Linked DNA regions of Kluyveromyces lactis. The protein of the gene in region 4 binds, or shares a complex with, the protein of the main gene of each other region. Links are inferred from orthologs where the notes say so. Each region holds a gene or a part of one and is shown on either strand. Other genes may lie near its edges.

Evidence for each region.
Region 1: RPO26 (region 4) and RET1 share a complex: the UniProt entries of both Saccharomyces cerevisiae proteins name them as parts of the RNA polymerase III (Pol III) complex. The link is inferred for Kluyveromyces lactis from reciprocal best matches to the Saccharomyces cerevisiae genes RPO26 and RET1.
Region 2: RPO26 (region 4) and RPB4 share a complex: the UniProt entries of both Saccharomyces cerevisiae proteins name them as parts of the RNA polymerase II (Pol II) complex. The link is inferred for Kluyveromyces lactis from reciprocal best matches to the Saccharomyces cerevisiae genes RPO26 and RPB4.
Region 3: RPO26 (region 4) and RPC37 share a complex: the UniProt entries of both Saccharomyces cerevisiae proteins name them as parts of the RNA polymerase III (Pol III) complex. The link is inferred for Kluyveromyces lactis from reciprocal best matches to the Saccharomyces cerevisiae genes RPO26 and RPC37.
Region 5: RPO26 (region 4) and RPC40 share a complex: the UniProt entries of both Saccharomyces cerevisiae proteins name them as parts of the RNA polymerase III (Pol III) complex. The link is inferred for Kluyveromyces lactis from reciprocal best matches to the Saccharomyces cerevisiae genes RPO26 and RPC40.
Region 6: RPO26 (region 4) and RPC11 share a complex: the UniProt entries of both Saccharomyces cerevisiae proteins name them as parts of the RNA polymerase III (Pol III) complex. The link is inferred for Kluyveromyces lactis from reciprocal best matches to the Saccharomyces cerevisiae genes RPO26 and RPC11.
Region 7: RPO26 (region 4) and RPC53 share a complex: the UniProt entries of both Saccharomyces cerevisiae proteins name them as parts of the RNA polymerase III (Pol III) complex. The link is inferred for Kluyveromyces lactis from reciprocal best matches to the Saccharomyces cerevisiae genes RPO26 and RPC53.

Annotation. Positions count from the first base shown.
Region 1 is NC_006042.1:96,456-101,180, reverse strand, and holds the start of RET1 (DNA-directed RNA polymerase III core subunit RET1), read right to left. Parts: upstream 2,851-4,725; coding exon 1-2,850. Other genes in the region: TFIIH/NER complex subunit TFB2, read left to right, coding at 3,525-4,725. UniProt on the Saccharomyces cerevisiae protein: DNA-dependent RNA polymerase catalyzes the transcription of DNA into RNA using the four ribonucleoside triphosphates as substrates. Second largest core component of RNA polymerase III which synthesizes small RNAs, such as 5S rRNA and tRNAs.
Region 2 is NC_006037.1:539,652-542,538, reverse strand, and holds RPB4 (DNA-directed RNA polymerase II subunit RPB4), read left to right. Parts: upstream 1-1,618; coding exon 1,619-2,221; downstream 2,222-2,887. Other genes in the region: serine/threonine protein kinase YAK1, read right to left, coding at 1-994; KLLA0_A05775g (glycosyltransferase family 15 protein), read right to left, coding at 2,271-2,887. UniProt on the Saccharomyces cerevisiae protein: DNA-dependent RNA polymerase catalyzes the transcription of DNA into RNA using the four ribonucleoside triphosphates as substrates. Component of RNA polymerase II which synthesizes mRNA precursors and many functional non-coding RNAs.
Region 3 is NC_006042.1:1,291,337-1,294,278, reverse strand, and holds RPC37 (DNA-directed RNA polymerase III subunit C37), read right to left. Parts: upstream 1,404-2,942; coding exon 645-1,403; downstream 1-644. Other genes in the region: GCN3 (translation initiation factor eIF2B subunit alpha), read left to right, coding at 1-584; DBP7 (putative ATP-dependent RNA helicase), read left to right, coding at 2,051-2,942. UniProt on the Saccharomyces cerevisiae protein: DNA-dependent RNA polymerase catalyzes the transcription of DNA into RNA using the four ribonucleoside triphosphates as substrates. Specific peripheric component of RNA polymerase III which synthesizes small RNAs, such as 5S rRNA and tRNAs.
Region 4 is NC_006038.1:314,249-317,008, reverse strand, and holds RPO26 (DNA-directed RNA polymerase core subunit RPO26), read right to left. Parts: upstream 1,177-2,760; coding exon 1,157-1,176; intron 1,026-1,156; coding exon 569-1,025; downstream 1-568. Other genes in the region: MLC2 (Mlc2p), read left to right, coding at 1-457; PZF1 (Pzf1p), read left to right, coding at 1,576-2,760. UniProt on the Saccharomyces cerevisiae protein: DNA-dependent RNA polymerases catalyze the transcription of DNA into RNA using the four ribonucleoside triphosphates as substrates.
Region 5 is NC_006040.1:1,252,379-1,255,541, forward strand, and holds RPC40 (DNA-directed RNA polymerase core subunit RPC40), read right to left. Parts: upstream 1,650-3,163; coding exon 645-1,649; downstream 1-644. Other genes in the region: GLD1 (Gld1p), read left to right, coding at 1-146; U4/U6-U5 snRNP complex subunit PRP31, read left to right, coding at 2,003-3,163. UniProt on the Saccharomyces cerevisiae protein: DNA-dependent RNA polymerases catalyze the transcription of DNA into RNA using the four ribonucleoside triphosphates as substrates.
Region 6 is NC_006042.1:1,707,694-1,710,431, forward strand, and holds RPC11 (DNA-directed RNA polymerase III core subunit RPC11), read right to left. Parts: upstream 965-2,738; coding exon 626-964; downstream 1-625. Other genes in the region: HEM13 (coproporphyrinogen oxidase), read left to right, coding at 1-178; ORC2 (origin recognition complex subunit 2), read left to right, coding at 1,341-2,738. UniProt on the Saccharomyces cerevisiae protein: DNA-dependent RNA polymerase catalyzes the transcription of DNA into RNA using the four ribonucleoside triphosphates as substrates. Component of RNA polymerase III which synthesizes small RNAs, such as 5S rRNA and tRNAs.
Region 7 is NC_006039.1:1,432,665-1,436,187, forward strand, and holds RPC53 (DNA-directed RNA polymerase III subunit C53), read right to left. Parts: upstream 1,998-3,523; coding exon 783-1,997; downstream 1-782. Other genes in the region: autophagy protein ATG9, read right to left, coding at 1-368; rRNA-processing protein SAS10, read left to right, coding at 2,401-3,523. UniProt on the Saccharomyces cerevisiae protein: DNA-dependent RNA polymerase catalyzes the transcription of DNA into RNA using the four ribonucleoside triphosphates as substrates. Specific peripheric component of RNA polymerase III which synthesizes small RNAs, such as 5S rRNA and tRNAs.

The DNA.
Region 1 (4,725 bases), on a different chromosome or scaffold from region 4:
TTTTCCAACGGTCATACGAGATGGGAAACCATGTGGGTTCATGATAATATCTGGTACTACACCTTGATCGTTGAAAGGAAGATCTTCTTGTTTTACGATGATACCACAGACACCCTTTTGACCATGTCTCGATGAGAATTTATCACCCAATTCAGGTCTTCTGTTTTGTCTCAATAGAACTTTGATCAAAGCCTGGTCATTATCAGAAACTGACATCATAACTTGATCAATATGAGAAGGTTCTGGAGCTCTATATACCACTGGAGTCTCCTTGTACTGAGCTTGTGTTTGAGTTAGAATGCTATCCGACGCATTAGTTGGAACAGATTTATTGACATAAATTTGTCCACTTTCAACCTTCATTCCAACTTCACCTAGCCCATCAGGGCCTAATGCTTGGTGTTGCCATATAGGCTCACCATTTTCATCAACTCTCATACCACCAATAATATCCTGAGTATGATTTGGATATCTCTTCAACACGGTGGTGTTCTTACGACGAGTTTCACAACGTCCAAAACCTCTGTCAATGGACGCTTTATTTAAAACTAACGCATCCTCGATATCATAACCGGAGTAGGACATAACTGCCACCGTAGCATTTTGACCTGCCGGAAGTTTATCGTAATCGATCAATTCAATCGTTTTGGTTTTCACCATAGGCTGTTGAGGGTATATCATTAGATACAATAAGGTGTCAATTCTTTTGAATTGATTGTATGCAATTGCACCAATAGCCTGCTTACCCATCGCACATTGATAAGTGTTACGTGGAGACTGATTATGGTGAGGATATGGAATCAAACCAGCAACTGCACCTAAGACAGTAAATGATTCAATTTCTAGATGCGTAATATTCTCAGATAGATCTTTTTCATATAATGCAATGAACGAGTCGTTTTCTTCATTAACGTCGAGATACTCGACTAAACCCAGTTTTAAGAAATCATCGAATTGTAATTTTCCAGCCAGAAGAGATCTTAAATGGTCTGCAGTAACAGAAGACTGCCCGTTCGAAACAATTATCAACGGCCTACAGATTCTTCCTCCATCAGTAGCAATATGAACTGCTTTTTGATGTGTATTGGTATATATAGAGATGAACTCTGACGCTCTACCAGTTCTTCTTAAACATCTGAATTGAGACACAAACTTTGTAGGAAATCTAGTTGTCCCTATGATTGTACCGTTTAAGTAGACACCATAATTTAAATGAATTGAAGCACTGTCAATTAAACTTATGTCTTCCACACCCAACAAGTAACAAATCCTCTTTATAGGCTCTTCTTCATCATCGGTGGTGATATGGGTCATTAATGCCAAATTTTTAACCAAACCACAGGCCTCACCTTCTGGAGTATCTGAGGTACATAACATACCAAATTGAGAAGGTTGTAGGGCTCTAGGACCTGAAACTTTTCTAGATTTCTCAAATTGAGAGGATATTCTTGTCATCATACCTAATGCTGAAATATAAGAAAGTCTGGATAAGACATGTGTAACACCTGCTCTTTCCATCTTGAAACGTTTCAAAGACCAGTTACCAGTTGAAATTGCACGATTCATACCTGTAGTAATGTTGTTGGAATGTACGTTAATGGTTAGTAAGGCATCATACATTTCAGCACGATTTGGTTTCTTTAAGACTTTATCGATGTTTGCCTTGAAATCATTATTGAACTTTTTGAATAAATCTTCAAATAACAATGACATCAATTGACCAGCCAATTCTAAACGCTTGTTACCAACATAATCTCTGTCATCAACCATCTTTGGGTTATCTATAGCCATTACGACTCTACGAGTCATCATTGCAATGTATAATGCTTTTTCTCTAAAGTCTAAAGCTTCCACTGTCAGATGAGCAATGACTGTCGTAGCGATGGCCTCGATACCTTCTTGCAAGATGGAAAGTTTCTGTCTTCTGACAGTTTTAACTTTAGTACCAATGAATTCTAAGGCTTGTTGTTGCGTGTATATTTTTAGTTCGGCAGCTTCTTCGAGATTCACCGCGAAGATATCTTGATAACTGCTATCATTACCACAAACTAACTGCATGATTTCTAAATCAGATACAACACCACAAGCCTTCAAAACAACTACAATTGGAACCTCTTCTGCGATAGAGTTATGTTTTAAGTATATTTTATCATTCTTGGTGACTACGTAAGTCTTAGATTTTCTTTCGTGGGTGGAAGATGTAACAGAAGCTTGTACGATGTTTTTCTTCTCATCTGCTTCCACAATGATACGATTCTTAGATAATTGTTCTTGAACTAAGATGACTTTTTCAGTACCATTAACAATGAAATATCCACCTGGATCTAAGGGACATTCATTTAATTTGGCCATATCATTTTCTGCTGCACCATCTAATATACATTTGTTTGATCTCAACATTATGGGCATTCTACCGATCTCCACATCTCTATGCAACACAATTGATCTTCCTCTGGTGTATTCAATATCAACAAAGATAGGAGTACTGTATGTCATGTCTCGTAATCTACATTCATGTGGTGGGGTCATAATAGCTTTGTTGCCGTTATGTTTGTATCCTACTCTAATGTCAATGTACTTCAAGTAAAACTCTGGATCGACATCAGATAATATAACCTCATTAGCTTTGATGATCTTCTTCAAATCAACATCCACAAAGTAATTAAAAGAGTCCAAATGCTGCTTTACTAACCCTTTCACCTTTAAAAAGGCAGGCAAAAGATTCCATTTATCTTCGGCAGTGTTGATCTCGTCAGTCAGCTTTTTACCTTTGAAGACGGGTTTCAAAAGAGCATCGAACGCTTCATCTTTTTCATAGCCATCAGGATTATGGGAGTCAGTGTGGTTCATTTTAGAGAATATTCAATCAGGATATTTGAAAGCTACCCTTTCCAAACTTAATTAGTGTTCCAAACAGTTAATCAAACAAAATATCTAGAAAAGAGGCAAAAAGACCAAACAAAGCTACTCTACTGAAAGTGAAAAAAGAAGGAGCCAACCAGTAAATTTCACTTAATCAAATCTTTGTTGAGGTCAGCAAATCAGTACAGTCACTAACTGCCAATAAATGCACTTCTCTTTGTTTCCATCAATATTGACAGAGCTCATCTACATTAATCATTGGCGTATTTCGATTATTTCAAATTCGAGATGAGCTTGATTTGATCTTTTTCATTTTCCAAAATTGATCTGACAGAGTGAAAAGAAATTTCTTCTGTCATCAACAAATTTTCAGTCACGTGCAAGATACATTTCTTCGTGTTACATGATATATATACACGTGACATATATTTTACTTTCAATATGCGAATGTCTGGATTTGACATGGTATCAACCTTAAGTACTATTGATTCAGATGAGCTTTTCCAAATCGGATATCATGGATGCATTGCATCGTTCGAATGCAGCAAATCGTATTAGGCTGAAATAACATTATCGATTGACGTGACCAAATTGTTGATCTCCTCACTTGGTTCTAATCTCTTGCTATTTCAAGAGGCCTTGAGCTGCATATTTTCAATACTATGAGTCTGAATCTTTTCAAGACCACCGTTAATGACTACCTAGAAGGTCTTCCAGAGCAAGTCCAATCAAGATTATATGAGTCTCCAGCGACATGTTTGGCAATTTATAGATTGCTTTCTCCCATGGCAAAATTCTTCATTATGTCGATGCTGTTTCAGGACCACGATGTCTCGCTTAGAGATTTAGATAAATGGGTCAAGCCAGATGCGAAATACCAGTTACAATACTCTATTAAATCGATGAAATCCTTGAATCTTATAATAGAAGGTGAGAGTAAACAACCTCTATTGATTCGTTTGAATCCAATTTTCAAGAAATCTTTCAAAAATGTATTAACTGGTGGTGAAATCAATAACTCTTTTGGTGATGTTGCGGATGATGATACCAATCCCGTATCTACAGCTACTTTGGACCAGTATAGTGCAGAAAAGTGGGAAACAATCTTGCATTACATGGTGGGAACACCGAATACAAACACTCCTGGTGGAAAGGTTCTAGACTTATTGCAGCATAGTGGTCTAATGGAAGAGGCAGAATATGGCGAACTCAAAATTACTAACCAAGGTTTCCAATTTCTCTTGCAAGATGTCAATGCACAGATGTGGACTCTTCTTCTTCAATATTTGAAGATGGCAGAAAGTTTACAGATGGATCCCGTGGATGTTCTAAATTTCATTTTCATGCTAGGTGCATTACAGCTAGGGAAGGCGTATAAGTGCGATCAACTAAGTAATACGCAGAGAACAATGTTACAGGATATGAGAGATTACGGATTAATCTATCAAAATCAATCGGATTATGCAAAGTTTTATCCTACCAGATTAGCCACGTTGTTGACGTCCGACACAAAAGCATTCAGAAGTGCCTCAGTCGCTCTAGACAGCGTGTTAAATAAAGCTAATGAAACAACAGCTGTAGAAGGAGACAGTGGACAAGATGAAACTACAGAGCGAACTCAAGACGGTGCCTTGATTATAGAGACTAACTTCAAACTATATTCATATTCTAACTCCCCATTGCAAATTGCTATTCTATCGCTATTTGTCCATCTAAAATCAAGATTTGCGAATATGGTGACTGGACAGCTTACGAGAGAATCTGTAAGAAATGCTTTATTGAATGGTATTACTGCAGAACAAATTATAGCATACCTTGAAACTCATGCTCACCCGAGAATGAGGCGATTGGCAGAAGAGAATT
Region 2 (2,887 bases), on a different chromosome or scaffold from region 4:
ATTTTCTGTTGTGTTCAACCCCCAACACATCATTAACGTAAAGGATGTAGTCACTGTTGACATTATCATGTCCATTGTTATATTTCCCCTCATTTGGTTTTGTTAGCACTCTTTTCGGGTTCTTTGATGTCTGATATGCAAAATCGTCATTACACAATGAATAAGTGGTAGTTAACGACTTAGTTAGAGCCATCAACGGCGAGACCGTCTTGCTGCTTAATGAAGCACGTCTATATTTCGGTGTGGAATGTATAACGGGATTCAAGTCCTGTCTCGTAAATATCTTGTTGAATTTAGGGACAATAATTATTGGAGAAGGTGGCCTTGACGACGGAAGTGAACTTGAGCCGCCACGCGTGCTCATGTATGCACCTGCAGTAGCGGGATACACAGAAGAATTTATGGAGCCAGCCATATATCCCGCAGTATTAATTCCAGGTTTCCTAAGCTGAGATGGTTTCGTTACCTGCTGTGGCGAAAGTTGACTGCCACCAGTGACAGCAACCGACTGCCTTCTTTGTGCATCATTATAGTTGGGAAACGGTTGCTTCTCATAAAGGAACGGATCAGGCCCTGCCGCACGCGCAGGTGGTATTACTAAAGATGAGTTTCTCCTTCTGAACTGTTGTGAGGATTCATCTACAGCGTTATCTTCTTCGTAAGTAGTGGGCAAGGGGAAGTTGGATTGCTTCCTCATAGTAGACCTCTGAGACTCAGGTATCTGGGGAATCTCTTGCCATGGGTTTTTGAATATCGATTGACGTGGCGACTGCATTTGGAAACCACCAGCCGCATTTCCGCCTTGTTGCTGCCCTGCATATATATTCCCGCCTGCATTGGAGCTACTCCCAGCTGGCCCATCAGGCGCAATCTCTGGGCCCTGATTCTGGGTATTTGCCTGCGTCTGAGAAAAGTTCTGGTTCTGATTCGAACTCGACGCTCCCTGCTGAGAAGCCATGAACGCAGGGTTCCAAAGGCTATTCTTATCCCCCATTTATTATATATCAGATTATAGTCAACGTCTAACCACGTTATTGCAGCAAAATATTAGAAAAGCCTCTCTTCCAACAAAGAAATGACCAATTCACAACTCAAAGTTTCAACGGAAATACCTTTTAAACGTTATATCGACTGAATAACCCTGAGTTTCGCTTAAAGAACTTATAGCAAAACAGTAACAGAAACAAAACCAGCTAAAGAATGTACGCCTTCCTATATTAAAAAACAGCTAAATTCGAATCTGGCTATACCTAATCACGATGAGTACCAAGTACATACAGCGCTGCCCTAAAAATAAGCCCTGGTGTCCTGTACAAACAAACAGCTTTGCCAAGATTCACTTTAATACCTTAAATACAGAGAACATTCATGTCATGAAGTCATAGGGCCAATATTCTGATGTTGAGTTTTCGCATAATTACCGTTAGGAAAAAAAATGGAAATTCAATTACGATTAAAACGAGAGGTAAACTAACTTTGTCACTCGAAACATCAACTGGAGTTACATTTATCTAAGTTGTACCGTTGTCAAAGTGGCTGATTACTGGAATAGCACTTTTTGTGATTACACTCGTCTACTTTTTTGGACCGCTCTTATAGATAACAGCTCGAATTTACCATGAATACATCTACATCCACTGTTCAAACCAAGAGACGTGGGTTGAAGAAGTTTGTTGAAGAAGAGAATGCTGCCACTTTACACTTGGGAGAAGAGTTTAATTTGAAGCAAATCAACCATCAGGGGCAGGAGGAAAACCTAGTGGCTTTAAATTTGAGTGAGTCTCGTTTGATTATAAAGGAAACGCTACAGAACCGTCGGAAATTATTCAAGACATGGGCAAGCAATGGTGCATCAAATAAGGACGATGACATGGATGATGAAGATAACGTCAATGTGCATACCCAAACACAGGAGAAAGAGTTACAGGATATAGATAGATTGCTTGAACAGACCACTGGTGGACAGAATCAAGCGTTGAAGCAGACCATGATATACCTAACGAATTTTTCACGTTTCCGTGATCAGGAAACAGTAACCGCTGTATCACAGCTTTTATCATCCACAGGGTTGCATCCATTCGAAGTGGCGCAATTGGGTTCTCTATCGTGCGAAGATGCAGATGAAGCCAAGACTCTAATTCCAAGTTTAGGAACCAAGATATCTGACGAAGATCTAGAAAGAATCCTAAAGGAATTATCGAATTTGGAAACTTTATACTAAAACCTATGTACTATATCTTATATATATCCCCGGTTTCACCTCTGCTCCATCATCTAATAAATAGTTTGCCGGCACCGTTTTTCCACCATCTCATCAAGCAACTGTTTGGGTGGATGGGAATATTAGATTCGCCGTTAGGATCACACATACAACGGAGCACTAATCGTGCTGATATGGACGTGGGACATGTTTCAAATGGAACATGGCTGTATCCAATTTCATCAAAGTGGTGGATTTCATTCTTGTCTAGAAGTAATGAGGCACCTATACTGTGCACGGGTGCATCACCCCAACGTTCATAATAAAACCCACCCTTGGAGTCCAAGTAATTGAAATACTGAAGATACTCGTCACTTCTAAAGAAATTTAGATCTCCAATTTCGAAATTGGACCAGAAATGACATAGATTATAGTCTGTATTCGAATCAACAACAGGGAAAAAACGTCCCACCATCGTGGTATCCGTCAAAAAGCTTAGACTGTTGTTAGGATGTAGAATTTCTGGATAAGTATCCATGAATTCCTCAACAGCATCCCATAATGTCGTTACCGTATCCTCATATTCAAAGATAGATATCACAAATCCGTATTTCTTCTTCTTCTCCCGCATGACTTTGAATGGATCATATGGGAAATCGCAGAAGTATTCCACATCAGGTTCGACTC
Region 3 (2,942 bases), on a different chromosome or scaffold from region 4:
CTGAGATTGGGATTGATTTCATATCCGATGATGATATCATATTAGTGCATGGATTTTCCAGAGCTGTTTTCTCTTTACTAAGTCATGCAGCAGAGAAGTTAATCAGATTTAGATGTATCGTCACTGAATCCAGACCGTCTGGCCAAGGGTTGCAACTGTATCATTTACTTAAAAAGAAGGGTATCCCAGTGACAATGATTGTAGATAATGCTGTTGGTACGATCATCCATAAGGTAAACAAGATCTTTGTGGGAGCCGAAGGTGTTGCTGAATCTGGAGGTATTATCAATCTAGTAGGAACGTATTCTATCGGTGTCTTGGCGAAGAATGCAAGGAAACCATTCTATGTGGTTAGTGAGTCGCATAAGTTCGTACGTATGTTCCCTCTTTCGTCAGATGATATTCCAATGGAAAGAGATCCATTAGATTTTAGCAAAAACGGTATAGAAGACGATGAAGAACCATTGAGTGGGCCTTCTGTCGACTTTACAAGTCAAGAATACATCACAGCTTTGATCACTGATCTTGGAGGGTTGACACCTAGTGCTGTTTCTGAGGAGTTGATTAAGATGTGGTATGATTAAGGAGAATTTGATCCCTTCTCGGTTTAATATATATTTATACTTACTAAATACGATAATTAATTAAAATAGTTTTGATAGATACACAGCGTCGTTGTCCATTGGTTTTAATGGTACAGTACTTTTTTCACTTGTAACTTCTTCTACAAACGATTCGAAAGTATCGTCCTTCCATTCCAAAGGTTTGAATTCCTCTTCGTCTGCTACCTTATGAGCTAGCAATGCACCTCCTAGTCTATTTTGATTCGCTTCGCTGCTACTCTTCACTGACATTGTTATTACCTGGTTTTTCTTGGCAGTTGGATTCGCAGGTTTCGCCTTGGCATCCTCGTCCTTCTTAACCTGTTGATGCGAATCGATGTAACGGAAGTATGGTCTCATTTGGGCAACTTTCTCTACTGGTATTAAATATAGCTGTCCTTGTTTCATAACGCCTGCGTATTGCAACATGTCGTTGCTTACAGCCACACCTTTCAAAGTTTGAACGTCGACATTGTTCCAAGACTCAGCAGCTTTTTCTTTGTCGAAGAAGACCTGTGTATTCAATGGGATATCTATCTCCCAAACGCTTGATTCATCCTTATAGCGTACACCAGCAATTGGAGGATGTTCATCCATATTCTTCGCCAGTCTTTTAGGTTTGTTAGGAAACTGTAACACATGCAATGGACAAGGTCCAACCGTTAAATTAATGGGTATTTCATTCACTACTGGATCGTCTTCTTTAAGAATCTCTGATGATTGGAGCTTCTTATCGAGTTTACCGTTCCCATTCATCTCAGTATCACCGTCCTCATCGGTAACAAACAAACCATTAGACATTTTGAGACCACTGACACCCTCTTACAGATACCTGGATAGAAACAGGACAATAGTTGGTTGTACAAGTGGTTCAACACTCATTAGTTGTACTAATGAGTGAGCCTTCTCATCCGAAATGTCAAAATTTCAATCGATGCGATGAGCCGTGTCTTGTGATCATTGAAACAAGAAGAGAGAAGCGTCTGTAAAAGGATGGTTTATCACCTTCCAACTGGTTCCATACCGGCTGGGCGAGTATTTCATCACCACCTTATTAATATTTGTCATAAGCGACTTTTGTCTCTGTCCATCTGCCTTTCTACGTGTATATAATATGCTTTAACATTAAACTTCAGACAAGGTTTGTAGAATTGAATCAGTAATGAAACCAAAGAGATATCAATTTCAGCACATAACATGACCTGTACATAGCACGAACCACTACAGTGTCAAATGTCCAGTTCAAACGATCCTGATAGTCGCCAATCTAACTGTATTTTATCCAATTCTGTGAGTATTTACCTTTGTATTGCTTTTTCTTGACATCAAGCATAGAAAATTTTAATATGGAAGTAGGACTTAACTGTGCGATGAGCTGACATTAGATGAAGTGAAAGTCTCTGTACGTCGCTCAGCAGCCCATATCAACGATCATCAAGTAGGTAAAGATGAGTTTCAATGATGACGATGATGGAATGCTGTTAAATTTTACAACTGACGTTAGTGATGCTAGTGAAACAGTCAGTAGAGGTAAAATTACCGGTGGTAAATGGAAGGACAGGAGAAAGGCCAAAATGATGATGGAAGGTCGTAAACCGAGGGTCAGGGGTGAAAAGAGACCATTAGAATCTGATGGAGCACCAACTTTTGAAGAATTGGAAGCCTCCTCTTCGAATTCAACTTCGGCACAGGCACCTGTAGAACCTAAGAGATCAAGATTTGATAACAGTTCTAATGTAGAACAACCAGCTAGGGTAACGCAACCATTACAGCTAAACTCGCAAATCGTTTCCTCTTTGTTCACGTCCAGTAGAAATATTGACACAGTTACCAATAGTAATGCTCATGATGAAAAAGCCGAAGTGACTTATTCCAATGCACCATTGGTTGGTGACACCTTCGATTCGTTCGGTATCACTGACACGATGGTTTCACACTTAAACGTCAAGATGAAGATTTCTAAGCCAACTAAGATTCAGAAGTTGGTTATCCCACCATTCTTACAAGCACAAAACGACTTGTTTATTCATGCACAAACTGGTTCTGGTAAGACATTGGCGTTTTTATTACCAATTTTCCAAAGCATACTATCGTTGGGTCAAAATATCACAAGACAATCTGGATGTTTTGCACTTGTAGTTACACCAACAAGAGAATTGGCCAACCAAATTTATCAAGTGACTTCTGAGCTTGCTCAATGTTGTCATTTCCTTGTGCCATGTCTCCTTATTGGTGGTGAAAGAAAGAAATCGGAAAAGGCGAGATTGAGAAAAGGTGCTAACTTTATCATTGGTACTCCAGGTAGAGTATTGGATCATTTACAGAACACAAAAGTCATTA
Region 4 (2,760 bases):
GAGTAGTTCGGTCACTTTTTCCCAGTTTACACAAGAGCAGATCAAGAAAATGCAGGAAGCATTCCAACTAATAGATGACGATGGAGATGGAATGATATCAGAATCAAATCTTGCAAAGATGTTGAGAGGATTGGGTAAACCAGATAATAAAGAAGATGTGGAACAAATGTTAAGCTTAGCTCCTGACGAAACTTTAACATTTCCAGCGTATCTGTCGTTAATGAGCGAATGTATGGGTGAAATGCCAGACCCAACCGAGATCAGAGAAGCACTTAAGGCATTCTCAGATAATGAAGAGCTCTTGTGTGACTCTGCTGAGCTTGAACAATGTCTAAAGGACGTCGGATTGGAAGACCCTGCGAAACTGGATCGTGTATTGGCACACTTTTCTGCGAAACAAGTATCTGGCCGAAGAGTATTTAAGGGAGAAAAGTTCGTTCAATCTATCAGTGAATGATTCGCAGTGGATATATCTAAATTTACAGTGTCTTTTCATATATAATATACACATATATTACTATTAATATTTCTGGGGTTTTCTATTTTAAAGATGCCTATGGTATGCTCTCTACAAGTCCACGATAAGTTCTTCAACCGACCAATCTTCGAACGATCCATCAGGAAGATATCTTCTGATGACCAATGGTATCTTCTTCTCTGCTAATTCTTTCATAGCGATTCTCAATGGGTCGGTTTCACCTTCCAAGTCAACGAACACTGGTGCGTTCATAGATATTTGCAAGGCTCTGGTACCTAAAATTCTGGCTCTTTCGTACTTTGTCATGTATGGTGTTGTAGTTCTATCTTCCTTGGCGATAGCCTTCTCCTTCAAAGTTCTTCTCCGACGAGCCTCCTGTTGCTGGAACTCTTCTGGACCAAATCCTCCAGCAACTATCGTGTTCCCGTTTTCATCTGTGCCTAATCCGTTCTCATCGCCAAACTTACCCTCGCCCTCATCAAATCCGTCGTAATCTGAGAAATGCTCTTGGTCAAAATCTTCATAGTTCTCTGGACCGTCATTAAATCTGTATTAGATAGTTTGTGCTTGAATTGACATTCAGCAACGCATACTCATCTAGTTAGTAAAACTATTCATGAAGACAACTTCTACGAAGAAATAATAGGGAAAAACACCTATTAAATCGCTATAACATACGCTCCCTCGTTGTCTGACATCTTTATCTATCAAGATGCTAATCCTTGATGCCGCTGATCAACAATAAAGACCTGGATAAGACAATTTATCGTCCACATCGTGTTACTGTGTTACTCGCTAGCTCATTTTCATTTGAAGCTTTTTCCAATTTTTCCAAATTTTTCAAAAATCGATTGTGACAGTAAAAGAAACGATTATCAACACTTTTCGAGATGAGGTGGTGAACTGTATGAATATGTTACTGGTTCAGCCCATTTATGGTATCCTATTTGTCTTGCTTGCATTACCTTTGAGAATCGCTAGTAGTACACAGTTACTGAAGTTCTCAGAAGGAGGTGGTAGCTGCTTCTTTTCCCTGTCTATTCTGTATGATTATTACAGTTTTACGTCCCTAATTGAAAATACAAAATAAGATTCAAATGAAATTCATAGAAAAAACCCAGGCGATGAGGTGCGATTGGGTAAGGAGATTCACGCCGATACACGGAATACCCAACCGAGTTATGGACTATTTAGGCAACGTTGTAGTAGCTACTGATGAATCTGTGATGGTCGCGCCGACATACAATAAGGAAAATGAGGTACGGCAGAATGTTGTTGGTGAAAACGATGATGATCAACAATGTTGTGTACCTACACCGCCGCTAACCAGATCAGAGTCCATGGATAGTGTTATGAGTATGGCCAGTGTGACTAGCACTGTGTCAGTTTCATCGTCACAGCGTTCTAAAGTATATTTCTGCGATTATCAAGGGTGTAACAAATCGTTCACAAGACCGAGTTTGCTCACGGAGCATCAGCTCACCGTGCATCATGGAATCAAACCGTTTAAATGCGACACTTGTGGCAAAGAATTTGCGAAAAAATCGCATCTGAATAGACACATGTTCTCTCATACAGATGATAAACCTTTCACATGTTCTATATGTGGGAAAGGTGTCACAACCAGACAACAGTTAAAGAGACATGAAATTACACATACGAAGTCCTTCCACTGTTCATATGAGGGATGTAACGAATCATTCTACAAACATCCACAACTCCGATCGCATATCTTGTCCGTTCACGAAAAGAAACTTACCTGCCCTCACTGTAACAAGACGTTCCAAAGGCCTTATCGATTGAAGAATCACATAGATAAGCATCACAACCCAGAATCTACCGGAATGTACCAATGTGACTTTCTTTCATGTACCGACGTATTTTCCACTTGGTCTTCTTTACAACAACATATTAAACAATGCCATCCGAAATTACCATGTCCTATTTGTGGGAAACCTTGTGTTGCTGAATCAGGTTTACGGAATCATATGATGATTCATGACGAGAGTTTGGTCACTAAGAATTGGAAATGTTCTTCATGTCCAGATACATCATTTGCGAAGAAAACTCAGCTAGTACAACATTATGAAGAAAGTCACAAAGATGTAGATCCAGAATTGCTATTACTGCCGACGGACGCTGATGAAGATACGAATATTAAAGTGAATACAGATATAAAGATATCAGAAACGGAGGACAGTTTTAGTTCAGGGAAAAAAACGTTACTTGATTTCCCCTCTTTCTCAAAGAAACGGAAAGTTGACGAGCTTGGATCAGTTGAA
Region 5 (3,163 bases), on a different chromosome or scaffold from region 4:
AGAATTTGGAGCACTTCAAAATGCCTGGGATATCACATCTAGAAAACTACCCATCGCCGTTTAACCATGGAACAGGCATAATAGAGGGGGAATTGAGAAGGCACTGGGTTCACCCAGTATATTGGAGAACGAGTGCCCTCGAGTAATTTTAAGGGTAACGCATCGTACCTTTTCTACCAACTGCTAATTCTATTCTTTCAAGTAGGGCTATTCCTCGTAACTGTACTATCCATCTCACCATTCAAAGATCACGAAGTCGCGGACGAAACCTATACACAGAAAGCCCAGAGTGATCTGAGTGACGGATATAATGGTAACGTCTTGATACTCGAAGTGGATCCAAAAGCCATGATCGAAAATCTTATAACCAAAGCACGGCCAATGGCGCAGGATCAGGAGACGTTTGAACCGACAAATGTAGATGCGATGGTGTAACACAGTTGAATCTAAAAACAAATGTACATTAAACTAGTTTAGATGTAGTGGCTTCTTTATATATGAATATATATAAGTGCCTAATCTGTTCACTGAGTGGCTTAATGCGTATGATACAGGGAATGAAAGAAATGGAATTATGATGCACGGTTTGTCTGTGTATGGAAGGGAGTGGATGATATTAAATAGAGAACATGCGAATTGGCTTCTTATTGTGAGATTGGACAGTTCTTCAAGTATTCCGCCTTGTTCTTCAAGATCCTGACCGATTTGAAGAAGATTTCTTCCGGTGTCATAGCACCAGAACTCTCCACGTTAAAGATGAAGTGGTCTCTCACCCTACCCAACTTAACCTTCCCCTGGAACTCATCGTGTCTCAACACCTCTCTGGACACGGTATCCTTCCTTGGATCCTTGATATAAGCTTCACCCTTCTCGTTGACATCTGCGACACCTTTAGGGAAACATTTCACAAATTTCTTGGCATCATCACCGGTGATAGGCTGTGTGATCTGGATGTGTGGTAATAGTCTATAACTAGCTGTCGACACCGGAGAGAACTTGGCATGGTCTGCACCGATACCTAGAATACAATGTGCCCTTAACGAAATCTCTTGACCTGGTCTCAACTTGGCCAACAAGATATCTGGATCCGCTGCCACCACGGGACACTTGGCAAATTGTTCCACCTGTTTCCCCTGAGGCTCAAACTTAAGGTCCCTAGCATAGATATGCGCGTTTCTATAAAGAACCTTGGGGTCTTCACAATCCTTTGGAGCATCTGGGTTCCTGGTACATTTCACGTTCAACGACATCACTATCGTATTTTCATCTGTAAACCTTTCAGATTCGGGCAATGACGTGTCCACCCAACTCAACATATCTGGATCCACCTTCAATGGCACTAACCCGATTCTATGCGCCAACACTTCGTCCTGTAGCACAGACGTATTGTTAAAAAAGTAGACGTATTCTGGAGCGACAGATGGTACTTCTGAGATCATAATACGACGGAAAGCGTTAGCAATCGATGTGTCGACATGAACCAAATCGAAATTCACTTCACGCTCATCCAAACTCTCGATTTGTACGTCAAAAGTTTCCTTGAACTTCTCCAAGTCCCATGAATTGTCTTGATCCGAACTAAATCCAGGGAAATCTGTTGAACTTGTGTTCGTCACACGGTTATATTCAACACCAACGATATTGGACATCCTTTTTCAATTGTATTGCTACGTTTATGCTACCTCTTGAGCTCTCAAACGACCTCAGAAAAGCCCTATGACACTGGTCAAGGTCCGTCTCATCGGTGTAGATACCTCATCTCAAGCTCATCTCATCGCTTTAAAGAACTGAAAAATTTTTGGAAAAGAAAAGATCACATCGTATAGAGTGATTATATATGATTAAAGATTGGTAGAAATGCGATGAGATAGCTACTCGAGAGCAGGTACTAGTCGATTACTGCTCTTTTGACCATCCTCAGTTAGTTCAGTATGTGGTATTTTACAGTTGGATTGTAACTGGATAACCATATTCCCCTGTCTTACTCTTTCACAAGGTGATAATGGACCTTTTAGATGACGAAGATTATGGAAGTGTCAGCGATGAGGAAAGCTTGGATGATGGGTTAAGTGGTGTAACCAGTGGTATAACCAGTGGTATAGCCACAGAATCGGATATTTTACCCTCTCCTAGTGTTAGCAACCTAATATCTGACTTTCACGCGCAATTCTGGCACCAAGGCGCGGATTTAGATGACCTCATCCAACTTGCCAAGCACGAAACTATAATACGAGATGCAACAAACCATACGACAGAGCCTTACAATGTCATAAAACTGGGCCAATTGATGCCTTTATTCGATACAGAGCTTTCCATGGTGTTTCAATGCATTGTAGATACCTACAAGGCCAAGTTCCCTGGGTTGGAAACTATTGTCCCTGAAAGGAAACAATACGTCGACGTGGTCAAGATGCTGCAACAGGATATTCCCAACGTGCAATTAGACCAAGTGCTATCGAAGGAGGAAACCCTTGTGGTATCTATGTCTCTAAAGACAGATTTCAAAGAGGGTGCTCGAATTGATAAGGATCTCCTCTCCAAGGCCATCCATTGGTTCGATATTCTGTACAACTTACGGGACAACGTCTCACACTATGTTGAGACAAGAATACAAATGGTAGCTCCAAACTTATGTGCTTTATTGGGACCTGATACTGCAGCTAAACTGGTAACACATTGTGGTAGTGTTAAAGAACTAAGTGTGGTTCCCAGTTGTAATTTGGCATCCATTGGCCAGGACAAAACGTTGCATGGCAAATCGTTAGATATCTCTGGGGTACGACAAAAGGGATATCTATTCTATACAGACGTGGTACAAACACAGCCTCCTGAGTTCCAGAAACAGGCGCTTAGAATGGTCTCTGCCAAGGTTGCTCTTGCTGCGAGAGCGGATTGCACCATGGGGAATCAAGTCATTAACCCAGATGGGAATTCAGATGGGAACTCAGATGCCTCGAAGCTGGGCTTGAAATGGAGGCATGAAATCGTTGAAAAACTCAAGAAGATAATAGATCCGCCGAATATCAGTAACATCAAGCCGTTGCCGATCCCAGAAGACGCTCCAAAGAAGAAAAGAGCTGGTAGAAGGTTCCGTAAGTACAAAGAACAGTTCAAGATGTCGCATCTAAGGCAAATGCAAAACAGAATGGAGTTCGGTAAAGAG
Region 6 (2,738 bases), on a different chromosome or scaffold from region 4:
CAACCTAGTCCTTGACAGAGGTACTCAATTCGGTTTAAGAACTCCAGGATCCCGTGTCGAAAGTATTTTGATGTCTTTGCCTGTGACTGCTTCGTGGTTGTATGACCATCATCCTGAAGTAGACTCTAGAGAAGATAAATTACTCCAAGTATTGAAGAACCCTGTTGAATGGGTTTGAATGCCTTTATTTATGTAACGTCTCATGTATTTAATTCTTAGTTTCTAATGATCTTAATTTCTTACGCTTCAAAAACCAAGTCGGTCGTTAGTACCATACAGCGTTGCACGAAATGGTTCTGTCAGGCCGTCGACAATACTTTTATTTTGTCTTGTTCAATCTATTTGTAGATTTATACATTATATTACACTTTGATTCAGAAGAAGTTTCATCAAACCCTAACAACTTCCTTTTGCGAGCCTAATGAAAGCGTGATCTACCTTTCATCATTTGAAAGATTAAGCATGCGTTTTTAGCTGGGCGAGAGACAAATGGCAGCGATTAAAGCCGAACATTTATCTTCTTGTCAGTTTTTTGCTCTAAGCGATGTAATAACTGCTAAGAAGATCTATAATATTTTGTTTGATGCGTATCGAAATCAAAGTAAATTTCAAAAATACACAATCTCTAGTTCTCTCTCCATTTATGACCACAGTTAACACATTTGTAGAAAGTTGTCATAGGTTCATCTGCAGATCTGATTTGCAACTGGAAGAAGTAAGCTCTTTCACCCGCACATTGGTCATGGTTCGGACATTGTGCTGCTGTCTGGTCAACATTATCCCATGCACCTTCTCCACCTAAGACATCATCAACTTCTTTCCTAGGGAGGTTCTTTCTATCGTATACCTCTATCCCATCAATTAAAAACTGGTATGGGCATGATCCGCATGCTAGTTTATACAGACCTGAATCAGCTTTTGATACCAACAACATGTTATTGCATAATGGGCAAAACGAAAGCATCCTACAACTTAATTCTCAATGTCAGACTCCTCAAACACGATACGTTAACGCACCGTTACCTGCCCATAAGCTCCTTCAACACGTTATCGCATACACTCTAAAATGAACCTCATCGCTATAATTATTGAGAGTAGGTTTTAATTCTTTCCTCATCTCATATAGAAATTTTTCAGAAAAAAAAAAGTAGAGCTTCATGCCTTTAACTTTGAATCGATATTTATGTTGACATTTAAGGTTTGTATGTCAAATATAGTGTATAGGGTTAATACCTGTGGGCGAGGTTTGATAGAAGAACAACTCCCACATTTATAAGTTAGTTTCCATTCTCTAGACTTTAGAGTATTTGATTATCTTGGAGCGGTTAAACCTTGAAAACATGACGAAGAAAGAGTGCAGTGATAATGAGGAAGAAGAAGAAGACATTGATATTGTAAATCACCAAGACATTTTCATATCACCTTCCAAAGTAAGATATCAGTCACCGAAGAAACTTAAAAGTTTTGATTTTCTTTCGCCTTCCAAAACGGTACGACCTAAGTCACCCAAACGATCGCTCACATTAGAGTCTGTTAGCATTGAGACTGAATATAAAGATGAAGAGAGTAGGAAGCACTCATCGACAGATACTGCAACTCCCAGGCGAAGGCAAAGGAAAACAACCAAGAGGGTGAAGTTGGAGGAAGATGATGCCATTGACTATGTGTCAGATACTAATGAATTGATACACAATGACGACGAATACGAGGATCTAAAAATTAAAATAGATTCTAATGAAAGCTCACCTAATAAGTCGCCTAGGAGAAAACTTACATTTAATGCAGAACCATCACCCCAAAGAAAGACTACCAGAAATACAGTTCAAAGGAATAAAATTATAGACGATGATCTTGCATACGACGATATCCAGCAGTATAAGCATCTGAAATTGAACTTGAACCCTAATTTCAAACCGACTAAGTTGCCAAAGAGCGATAATAATGACCAAACATCTGATGAACAATCTCAAATATATTTTTTCGATGGTTTCGAAGGTTTCATAGATCAGACCAAGATCCTAAAAACTGATAAAAGATCCAAGAACTCGATGTCCTCGGCACCAAGTATTTCCAGAGATGAATATAACATTCTTTCTCAACTTTCCAATGATATATTCCATCGTTCATCGACAAAGGCAGTACAAAAAATACATGAAACACTCTTTCAGCAGTTTACTTTCGAGTTACTGCAGGGATTTACGTTATTATTCTATGGTATCGGATCGAAGAAGAAATTCCTCGAATCATTTGCATTCAACTTTCTTTCTATGAAGATCGCCTTGTTGCAAAACCCGGATATTCAAAAAGATGATCCATGTATACCGGTTTTTGTAATGAACGGGTACACCACTCTCTCTAAGAACATCTTTTTGGATATATTCAAAATCTTAGTAGAGGGCGAGACTATTGATGATCAAGGTCAATCAAATTATTGGGATAATCGAATTGACTTGCAAATGGACAGGCTTTCAAAATATTTCAAGAAAAGACCTCCTACGGTGAAGATGATTCTTTTGATACATAACTTGGACGGTCCGTCATTCCGGAGAGAACATTTTCAAACCAGAATGAGTATTCTTGCACAAATCAAACAAATCTGTGTCGTAGCAAGTGTCGACCATATACAAGCTCCTTTCCTTTGGGATCATTTCAGAGCTCAATCATTCAACTTTGTTTACCACGATATCACAAATTTTGAGCCGTACATCGTAGAAACAGTACAAACCGATAATGCTATC
Region 7 (3,523 bases), on a different chromosome or scaffold from region 4:
CTGAAATCCTCTTCTTCTAAGTGCACTTCATCTTCTTCTGTACCTCCCTCATCGGGCTCTGATTCCGATTGTATTGTTGCCATCCCATCAGATGCTGTATCAAATCTTATGGATTGTGGCTGTTGTATTAGCGGCTCCTCATCATTGCTGTCCTCGTTAGATGAAGATGGTTCCTGATCGGATTCTATTAGCCTCACATTACCTTCATCCTCGGCATAGTTACTAAAATCCTGTTCCGTAGGCATAGTAATATGGCTCATCTCAGCGGCATCCAAAGAGTTTTCTACAGCAGATGAGTGCACACCAAACACTCTTGATAGAAATGTGTTCTTGGATCCACCATTTACTTTATCCTGACTATCCGTCATAACTCAGACTTCCAAAATTTTATTGATCCAAACTTTTCAAGTTGATTCAATCAACTGACTAAATACCGTGAGAGGTAAGGTTATGGTTGTAGTGTCCTTTCGATTATACCTTGTTTTGTGTTTGTTGAAGTCATTTTTAAGGGAATCCTTGTATACATGAACAAGTTTTGTAATGGAGCCCTGCATATCCAAACATCAACTCGTACTTAATGACTATTCTGATTTCAGGAATTATAACCTGAAAAGGCGATGCATCTTTATTAGGTTACTATGCAGTAGCTGCTGATTGTGTTCGCAGTGGTATTTGAATCTCCCATTCTTGATGTAGTTGTCTACATTAAATTAATGTTATCATACGAATTGATTTGCTGAGCTTTTTCTTCAACTATCATGTACATGCAGAAATCTATATAATTAGATATGTGGTGTTACAATCGCTCTTCCGTCGATTTGGCCTAGTAGCTCCGCTTCTTCTCCCTCCAAATCTAGTGTAACCACGTCTTGCAAAAATGTAGACTCTGCGCCCCTGCTGATATCCATTACGACGTCCCCGATCTTGATTGACATTTTGCCGGATCGATGCATTCTAATTGAACCAACGTTTCCGATCAAAGGCTCAGGTGAATCTATTTGTGTTTCTTTGCTGTTTTTACTATTTGATTGTTCACTTCCTTCATCTACTTTTGCTTCACCATTTGGCTTTACATCTTCTTCGGTGGATTTCACTGGGGGTTGTGGCTGAAATTCAGGTAGATTTGATGGGAACTGGAAGAACATAAACTTATTTGGAACGTCGTTAATCTTGTTTAACTTTTTGTACATATGTTTATGATCCTCAAATAACAAATTTGTTTCCCTGAGAGCTTCTGCGCTGTCAACAGATTGGAAATCTTGTTGAAGTTGAAGCAAACGCAGTTTTTCTTTTAACTGCTGTTCCTTCTCGTTCACTATGTCATTTAAAGTACCATCCGATTGTTCTGGTTCTAGCTTCACAGGTCCTGGTGTTGGTTCCCTGGTCTGCAAAGTTGACATGGATTCCTGGACAACTTTCTGTAGAGAATCCACCTTTTCGTGATTGATACGAACTGCCCTGACAGGGAAAAGATTGGCCAATTGTTTAGAGGCTCTGGTCTCTTCACTCATGGCTGCATCAGTATTAGAATCCTCATCTTCATCAAACAGATCGTCAGTTTCCTTCTTGAAGTCTGCCTCTGTATACTCTTTCCCCATGTTAATTCTCTTCCCAGCTTTTGAATCTTCTGCGTCCGATCCCTCTGCTTCATCATCAGAAACAGCTTTCAAACCGCGTTGCACAAGACTGCTTTGAGAACCCTCCGTCTTAATGAATCCATTATTCCCTTTATTAGATCCTCCAGAGAAATTACCAGCTGCCAATGGGCCTGATGTGATAATTCTTGTGTTGTTTAAATACTTCGGCTGCCTCTTCTGGTTGCCCTGTGGTTTCTGTGTATATTTCTTCTTCTCAACCTGTTTATTCGGCTCTTCTACCTTCAGAACGTTAGCATCTCGTTCCTCCTTAGATTTACGAGCTACCACTTTGGGCTTAAACTTCAGCGAGGTTCCGGTTGATGGTTTCCCCTGGTTCAATCCAGGTAAACGTCCACTCATCTTTAGTTGATTCCTATCACAATTTGATGCAAATAACTTCTTGACTCAAGCGTTTAATACTGCGATTCTCGACCGTTTCTTCGTTCAACAGCAAATCCTAATATGAAAACGAAGACTAGTTACTGGATACTAACCCTTGCATTGACTATTTGCGCATCAACTTTGCTCATCTCATTGTGATCTCTTCCAGTAGTAGTGCAGCTTTCAATTTTGGTGAAAAATCTTGAAAAAGCAATGTTGGAAAATTTTGTTTAAAGTTAAAGCTCATCTCATCTCATCTCAATTCAGAGAATAGGTATAACTAAGAGAATGACAAGCTGCATAACAGGTAACTACTATCAGCCGCTGTAATCGACTGTATATTGAGTTGGACTTAAATTGTACTGGACATTGTACTTCAAATATGGCAAAGAGAGGTGCAAAGGTCTCAAAAAGAGGGTCTAATCGTAGACAAGACCAGGAAGAAGATGTTGCCTATGGCATGAATGAGGTCGATGACTTTGCAAACAAGAGAGAAAAAGTGCTACTTGAGGACGCAGGTCTTGATCAAAGGGAACCAGAAGATGATTTTGATCTTTCAGTGGATGAAGAAGAAGAAGTGATGGGAATGTCAGATGAAGATAGTGAGGATGAAAGTGAAGAAGTTGAAGATGATGAAAGTGAACAAGAAGAATTAACAGGTGAAGCTGTGTATAAGAAGGTTTTTGGTAGGAAATTAGACGTTGGTGAGAATGCAGAAGAAGAGAGTGGTACTATGCTGGACAATGAGAACGCATGGGGTGCTTCTAAGGCAGAATACTACGGTGCCGATGACTTGGACGATGAAGAGACTGCAAGAGAGATAGAAAAGGAAGCTTTGCGCCAACAGAAGAAACATTTGGAAGACCTTCATATGGAAGACTATCTTGAGGATGAAGTTGATGAAGAATGGGTAAAAGAAGCTAAGGAATTCGATTTAGGTCAATTTAAAGATCAAAAGGATCAAGAACGTCCTACTGAAATCTCCCTTAGGGATGTTCTCAACATGGACTTAGAGAGAAAGGAAGGTTTCTTGAAGACATCCTTCCCAGAATACCTTCCTTTATCAAAGGAATTCAGTAAATTATCACCCGTTTTAGACGAGCTGAAACTCAAACAAACTGAGGAGAATAATGAATTGATTCAGATCAAAATTATGGCATTATCTTCATATCTTGGAACAATTAGTTCATATTTTGCAGTTTTCTTATATGAATTACAGAATAACGAAGATTTCATTTCTATGAAAGATCATCCGGTAATGGAGCGTATTTTGGAGTGTAAAGAAATTTGGAGACAAGCTAGCGAACTACCGGACACAGAAGCAATACGCTTTGAGCAAGACTCTGACGCTGAAGAAAATATTTCGGATATTGGTGAACTTGATGAAGAACTATTACAAGAACAGGATGAACTGGACAGTGAAGCAAGTGCCAGTGACGATGAGGCAGAAGATGAGAATGAGGACGAGGAGGGTGATATGGAAAGCGAAGAAGAAGAAAACTTTG